Linked DNA regions of Xenopus tropicalis. The protein of the gene in region 1 interacts with the protein of each later gene in a biochemical or structural test. Links are inferred from orthologs where the notes say so. Each region holds a gene or a part of one and is shown in the gene's direction. Other genes may lie near its edges.

Region 1 (2,932 bases):
TATTGTGATATGGTGGCACATGCTCTTATAGAAGTGACATGTGTTCCTTTGAGTTCTTGTACTCTAGTTTGGCTCTTGGATATGAGAGCTACACTAGGAGGCACTTTTTATATGTTTTATGGGCAAAATTCCATTTTTTGTCCTGGAAGAGGGTCTCACTAAGAGATGAGGCAGTCTGTCACACGCTGTATCCCACAGAAGGTCTCTTTTACAGTATATGGTTATGTATAATAATGTGTTTATTTTTATAGGACTTGAAGCCAAATAATTTGCTGCTGGATGAAAATGGGGTCCTTAAACTTGCTGATTTTGGTCTTGCAAAGTCATTTGGGAGTCCAAACAGAATATATACTCATCAAGTAGTAACAAGGTAGAGTTTTTCTATACCCCGGAGTGGGCTGCAGAGTATTGTAGGCACAACTACTTTATATGTTAATGCAGGTGAATGGGGAATGCTTATGGGGGTTATTTTTGTTTTTTCAGTTTTTGTTTATTGGTTGTTTTTACATAGGAGACAAATGTATACTCATCCCAGATACTGAACCCTGTACGCAATAATGTAGCACTCTCTCTAGTCAAAGGACATGTAACCCCCCCCCCTAAAAAATGTAATCCGTGAACAGCCTAATTTAAAATATCTAAATGCCTGCCAGTGTTGAAAGGTTAATAGTAAGGCTGCATCCCTTAATCACTTAGGATAACTTCTCCTCTACCCTGCTTGGCCCTCCCCTTAGGAAGTGACTTTGGCTTTTGGCTTCTGAGCATGCTCAGTTATATTCAACCAGTCAAGAGATGGCAGTGCTGGTTTCTATAGAAACTCTGCTCTATTTGTGTACTCTGCTGGGGTGTTCTGTCCTGAGCTCTGCTTAACCAATTAGTGCTCAATCCAAGCAGGACTTTTGTTAAAGTAAGTTCTGCCTCAATAAGCCTGCATTCTTGATGAACTTTACAGTGAATAAGTATCTTTGCGCACATGTAATGTTAGGCACCCCCAAGTGACTTTAATCGCTTACCTTTTACCCCGGGCTGGTGCCCCTGTTAGGAGCAAACCACACCAGCCCGGCGTACCTGCAGCGAGCGATTTCTTTCTTCCTGCTGCCAGCAAAATCCCTGGGCCGGCGCATGTGCAGTAGAGTGAAAAGCTGACTTTTTTGTTAAAGTCGCAACCAGGAAGAGGAAACACTCGCTGCAGGTGCCCCGAGCTGGTGCAGTTTTCTCCTAACAGGGGCACCAGCCCGGGGTAAAAGGTAATCGATTAACGTTACTTGGGGGTGCCTAACATTTTGGCACCCCCAAGTGACTTAGCCCCTCCCTCTCCTTTAAATTGGTATTGGAGTTGGTGAGGAAGATGTAGTTACCCCATTCATTGTATTTGAATTTTTGAAGCTTAATGTAAACTTTCTAAAACTGTCTGAAAATTAGTGTTGATGTTTTTAATTAGGTTAAGAGACAGTGACCATAAGCTTGTGTTTTATAGGTGGTACCGATCTCCTGAGTTGCTGTTTGGTGCTAGAATGTACGGTGTGGGAGTAGACATGTGGGCAGTTGGCTGCATCTTAGCAGAGCTGCTACTTCGGGTGAGTTACAGACACTTTTTTTTTTTTTTTTTTGCCATGGTTGTCCTAATCATGAACCTTTTACCTGTGGAACTACAAATCAGATCACCATAGTAACTAAGGTTTAATTTCTGTAATGTATTTTAAAAGGTGCCCTTTTTGCCTGGGGACTCTGATCTAGACCAACTTACAAGAATATTTGAAACTTTGGGAACACCAACAGAAGAGCAATGGCCGGTATGTAAACTCACAGTTGAAGGGAAATAATCGCTTCTGCTTTTTACACTATGTATAGATTCTGCATTCTGCCACATGGTGGAAACAAGAGCTGTAACAGCAGAGAATGGTTTCTGCTAAAATGCTTGAAAAATGACAGTGAAGCTGGCCCTTCCTATTGCTATTCTCTAGGAGCACTTTCTCCAGCCTGCATTTTTTTTATACAAACTTCTTCACAAAGGAAACAGGAGAAAGTGGGTTAAAAAAAACACAGCACAAAATCATAAGATTATAAAGGAAAGATAAAAAAGACAAAATAAGGGGAAAAGGTAGAGCTCATATATAGGAATAGTGTCTGTTTAATAATATATATGCTTTATCTGTTTTTTTATATATGATATTTAATATATCTATTTTTTTAAAATTGTACAGGGCATGTCCAGCCTTCCAGACTACGTTGCCTTTAAAAGTTTTCCAGGGACACCGCTCCACCATATTTTTATTGCAGCTGGTGATGATCTTCTTGAACTTTTGCAAGGCTTATTTACCTTTAATCCATGTGCACGATGCACAGCATCCCAGGTATGTAAAGTTGCAGCATTTGCTCACATAAAAAAAAAAAATTTCTAGTGTCCAAACGCTCTGTAGTGGTCAAAAAAGAAAATACATATGTTTGGTAAGGACCAGCAGCACTCTAAAATATAAAAACAACAAAATATCTTTTTTTCACATACCACTTGTGTGTCCATATATTACTATATATATATATATATATATATATATATATATATTACTATAAAATAGCTGTACTATAAATACATTTTATCGTAAGGGATAAAACAAAGTAACAGCCAGAGTTGGCAAGAAAATAGTTTTTGTTTTTTTGAGGGTCTCTTTTTGTTGAGAAACAACTGTACTCCTATCACATTTCAGACTCCGATTTGAACCCCATGCCTGTTCCCATGTAGAACGCAGCATGGATGCAGCCAATTCAGATGATCCAACTTGGTTGCTAGGCATGCACTCATTCATGCTGAGTTCTGTTATCTGGCCATGGCATTGCTTTGTGACATTTAGAGGCCTATTTATTATGCTGTGTAAAAAAGGCCTCAAAATTCTCCATGCTTCGCTGCGTAGAAAATGGCGTAATTTCTTTGTGT
Region 2 (4,568 bases), about 25 Mb from region 1:
AAAACCTGGTTTGGGGGCACTGAGAGCAACATTCAAGGGGTTGGGGAGCAACATTTTCACAAGTCACTGGTTGGGGATCACTGCTCTATAAAGGTAAAATGCCATGAACTTACCCTATGTAATTACTGTATCTATATTTTGATAAGGTAAAAAGTTTTTACCTACTCAGAATTATCTATTTAAATTCCAAGAACCAGATTACCTTGCGAGGGTGTAGTCGAACTATAACAAATTAAGAAGAAAGAGAAGACAACCTTTCAAGGTCTATTCAATTTACTTTTCTAAACAAAATACTAGTGCTTTTTGTTATATTAATGCAATAGTATTTCTTATTACAGTCCCCCAATTTGATTAAAGTGACAAGTGCTGTGATTAAAGTTGTCTTTATATCAATATTACAGAAGAGGAAAACTTAAATGATTCCAATTTCCAAGGCCCAAATACCTAACTAGGAACTAGTAGTTGAACTACAACAAGATACAAGAACAAACACCCTATAGAAGTCTTGTGCAAATTTGACAAAATTCCAATTATTACACACTCCCAATATTCAAGAGATTTTAGAAAACTGCCTGACGCGCGTTTCGCCTTTAATAAATCTCTGGCTAAATGCATGTCAGGCATTTTTTTTACAAACCTTTTAGTCTCTTTTAATATTTGAGTTTTAACCAGGCACTGAGGAAGCAATTTGGGGTAATAGTAGGCGTCTGTGTGAGTTCCCTACTCTTTCCTCTTAATGTGTATCTATATTACGATACTATACTATATCTATACTATCTAGACTTATGAGGTAAAAAATTGAAACATAAAAAGCAAATATTCACACTATACAGCTTCCCTGCATGTTTGTTTAAGAGGCTCTACAGTCAAAATTCCAATGAATGTAACCTTGCTCCGACTGCTCTTCCATCACTTTCCCTTTATTTCTACTGCTGTTTTCTATATTATCCCATATACCCAAGCCAGGGCCAGGGAACCAGCAGTAAATACTGCACTAAGTGAGAATGGCCCATATCATGTAATAGTTTATTTATAAAGCAACATTGTCTGTAGCTGTGGGATATGATAATGTCACAGGGACAATAGGGTTAACATAAGAGCTGACAATATGAGGGCTCCTTCACAACAGAGACTGTTATACCATGCCAGCTGCTTCCATTGGTAATTGGGCCATATATTATATATTTGATATATTTCGGCAATGTATCTGTAGCGTGTCCACCCTGCATCGGTGGAGCTTTTACCAGCAGGTTGGTAGATCCCAATGGCAGCTGGAAGCCCACAGCTTGGAGATAACTTTATCGCTGAATTCCATATAGCATGGCCTGACCCCCCGCTCCGTGAGCCTGACTGCTGGGGCGCTCGGCTTGTGTATATGCTGCGGGACCCCGGACCCCAGTCCTCACCTTCTTCATTCATGGTTCCGCCTGCGTTCTCTGAAAGAAAAAGTCGCTACTACCCTACAACCCAAAAGCTTCTCCACGCCGGCCTGCTATCATCTGGCAAGGACAGAGTTAATCTCGGCATGGCGAGCTGACAGAAGACGCCCTTACGCGGACGACGTCATTGGAGTGCGACAGTGCAATGGCTGTTTCATTCTGAGAAGAAGAGTTGCTATGGCTTCTGGTGAGTTACCTGGGTGTTGTGGATTTTATGAATGCGGCTGTGCGGTGTGGGGGTGCCGCCTGAGAGGCTGCCAGGCTATGCTTGGTGTTGGGGTTCTTCAGAACAATTCAGAGCTTGGGCGCATTGTGAAAAGTGCAGGATGATAATAAAGCCCTGCGCTATATAAACCCAGAAATACGCACCATAATACCATTGCCACTTCCGGTTAGTACAGAATACTACTTACAGGGTAGCTATGGAAATGTCCCATGCTGACAGGCGCACAACGGACCTACAGCTCAGTGACACATTCAGGAATCATTTGGAAACTGCATGCAATTCATATATCAACTTATTATAAGCTATTTAATGCAGGTGGACTGGTGGCCTAGGCAGACCCACTGGCCCAAAATAAAGCACAAGTCTATAGCACCTAACAGCTGCCCCACTGGCATTTGCCAGAATATCCATATTGCCAGTCTAGGCCAGTGGCATAACAAGTGGGTACTGGTCCCTAATACAACATCTTTTACAGCCTTTTTTATAAACACTTTAGAAACCTAGTTCAATTTTTATTTCTACATCAATCAGTTCCCCACTGGATCCCCCACTAGTTTTTATTAACTGAGCAATCAGTTAATAATCTGCCGCAAACAACTCCTTATTCTCTGAAACAAGTCTGTGTAGCATAGCAGATGACAAACCTTTGCCAACATACAGTGCTACTCCTATATGATTGCCAAATATAGGGTAATGCCATCATCCAGTGTGACGGACCTTATTCAGTAAATGTCAAATGCCGCACTGCATAAAAGTATGTGCATGAAAATGATAAATGTTATAACCTAAAATGGAACACAGGCAAATTTGCCTGTACCAAGCGGACATTTCACTTACCCCTTCTCATGGATTTATTTAAATCTTGTGTTGCCCCAGCATTGTGTAAAATTGCCTTCCCAACCCTAACTGCCATTAAGATATTGCCTGTATTGTAGGTCCACAGATGTCTCCATTGTAGCTGTACCCTGAATTGTGAATTTTGCAGGATAAATGATAATAAAGTGTGTTTGCACTATATGTATAAAAATGTTATTACATGCTAATAATGCTGGCATCTTAAATGAATATGCTACTGTAAATTATACTATCATATGTTATATAGCTTATAACATTAAAGATTTACCTGTATAACTTCTAGTCTATAGGCATCTGTGCTTTATCAATGTTAGCTGCTTCCCACAATGGTTCCAACTAACTCTGTTGCTCTCATACAATAGAATCCCATGCTGAATCATGGGTCTTGCCAACTTTTAGTAGATACCAGCCCTAAAAGATTCCAGTTTGGTAGAAAAATATATTGAATGAACCAGCAGCGTCAAGTGCAGACTGCAGGGAATAAGTTTCTTGAGAACTGTTAAACTTCAATATAGTTACACATTTGAAAGGAATTTGTAAAGGCATATATTATTCAGTTGATGGTAGTGATTTACCATAATGCATATAAATGCTTTGTAGAATTTTTAAAGATAATAGAGAACTGACACCCATCCTATTGCTAGAATAGGCATTTCAAAAATTCCTTCTTTCCTGCAGATGATGACGTGAATCTTTTGGTTGTTGTTGTTGATGTGAATCCTATTTGGTGGGGTCAGCAGGCACTTAATCATTCAGAGGTAAAGAAAAAGTCATTTATGAACCAGACACATTGCATTTTACAAGTGGTCCTGGTAGGTTAGCCGTCCTGTTAAAAGTTGAGCTTACTACCCACACACTAAAAAATAATTTATTTGGTTGTTAAGTACTCCATGTACAGCAGACTATTCAACTGCAAATGTCTTGCAGTGTTGCAGCAGCTTCAGATCAGTATCATAACAACAATCACATGACCATTCATCTCAGTCTAATTGCTTGGCAATCACATACAATTCTATTTCTCTGTATCCAATCCTATCAGTTCCTTCTGTGTTGCCTTTAAATTACATCCAGCTTATTATGTAATTGTCAGGCATGTTAGCCCAATGTAACTGTGTTTAAAAATATGCTAATATGCAGGCTTGTTATAACCATTTTTATGTTTTATTTTCGGCAGGTAACACTTCCAAAATGCATTGATGCAGTAATAGTGATGGGGAATTCCCATCTATTTATGGGCCGTAATAACAAGCTTGCTGTCATTGCCAGTCATATTCAAGAGAGGTAAACAGAGCTTTTATCTGTACCAATATCAATAATAGTTAAAAGGGAGAATAACACTCATTTGTGTGAGTGGCAGGCGGACCCATTGGCCACAAGTTGCACCACAGGTAACAACTCCTTCATAACTAGTAAATCAAGTGCAAAAACAATTAACTGCCTTTGTCCTCATCTCCTCTTATGTTATTTCTGCACTTGGTTTAACTTATATGAAAGTGTACTGCCACCCACACCATTGGGCCTTACTATGCCTACAGCAACACATAGGTCCCTTTTTTTAAAAGTTATTATTTTCCCAAACTTTTACGCAATAGTTTGAGAAACGGAAAAGAAAGAAAGCAGGAAGGTAAGAAAAGGTGTGGCAAGTAAATAGCATTAGTACCACAGTGTATGCAGGCATTAAGTTAATTAGTAGAGCTAGAGCATTTACCAAGCAACCCAGATGGCATGAAATTTATTGGGGCAGTCTCTGGCAATATATGTTCGTTTCTGATATGGTAAGGTGTCATCAATGCAGATGTCTGCTGCCAGTGCAAAAAACGGCCTTTTTAGCATAGTAAAATAGTTGTAGGTAAGTCTGGTGTGGGCGTACATATAAGGGATATCTGCAATGCCCAAGAGACGGTGAGCATATCTGTGGGGATGCCAAGGTGTCCTCTGCAAATTTTAATATAGTTCTTCAGAACCCCTGTGTAATGGGACAGTTAGTATGTCTGTTGCAATCTTCTATATATAGTTAATGAAACAGCTGAGGCATGCAGCATGACAGC

Evidence for each region.
Region 2: the proteins of cdk7 (region 1) and gtf2h3 form a complex in vitro, tested with the Homo sapiens proteins (2 studies listed by BioGRID). The link is inferred for Xenopus tropicalis from reciprocal best matches to the Homo sapiens genes CDK7 and GTF2H3.

What each region holds. Positions count from the first base shown.
Region 1 is NC_030677.2:186,223,488-186,226,419, reverse strand, and holds part of cdk7 (cyclin-dependent kinase 7), read left to right. Parts: intron 1-251; coding exon 252-370; intron 371-1,477; coding exon 1,478-1,577; intron 1,578-1,706; coding exon 1,707-1,793; intron 1,794-2,204; coding exon 2,205-2,354; intron 2,355-2,932. UniProt on the Homo sapiens protein: Serine/threonine kinase involved in cell cycle control and in RNA polymerase II-mediated RNA transcription. Cyclin-dependent kinases (CDKs) are activated by the binding to a cyclin and mediate the progression through the cell cycle.
Region 2 is NC_030677.2:160,973,071-160,977,638, reverse strand, and holds the start of gtf2h3 (general transcription factor IIH subunit 3), read left to right. Parts: upstream 1-1,571; 5' UTR 1,572-1,616; coding exon of another isoform or gene 1,617-1,626; intron 1,627-3,198; coding exon of another isoform or gene 3,199-3,278; intron 3,279-3,694; coding exon of another isoform or gene 3,695-3,801; 5' UTR 3,802-3,908; intron 3,909-4,568. Other genes in the region: eif2b1 (translation initiation factor eIF-2B subunit alpha), read right to left, coding at 1,245-1,419. UniProt on the Homo sapiens protein: Component of the general transcription and DNA repair factor IIH (TFIIH) core complex, which is involved in general and transcription-coupled nucleotide excision repair (NER) of damaged DNA and, when complexed to CAK, in RNA transcription by RNA polymerase II.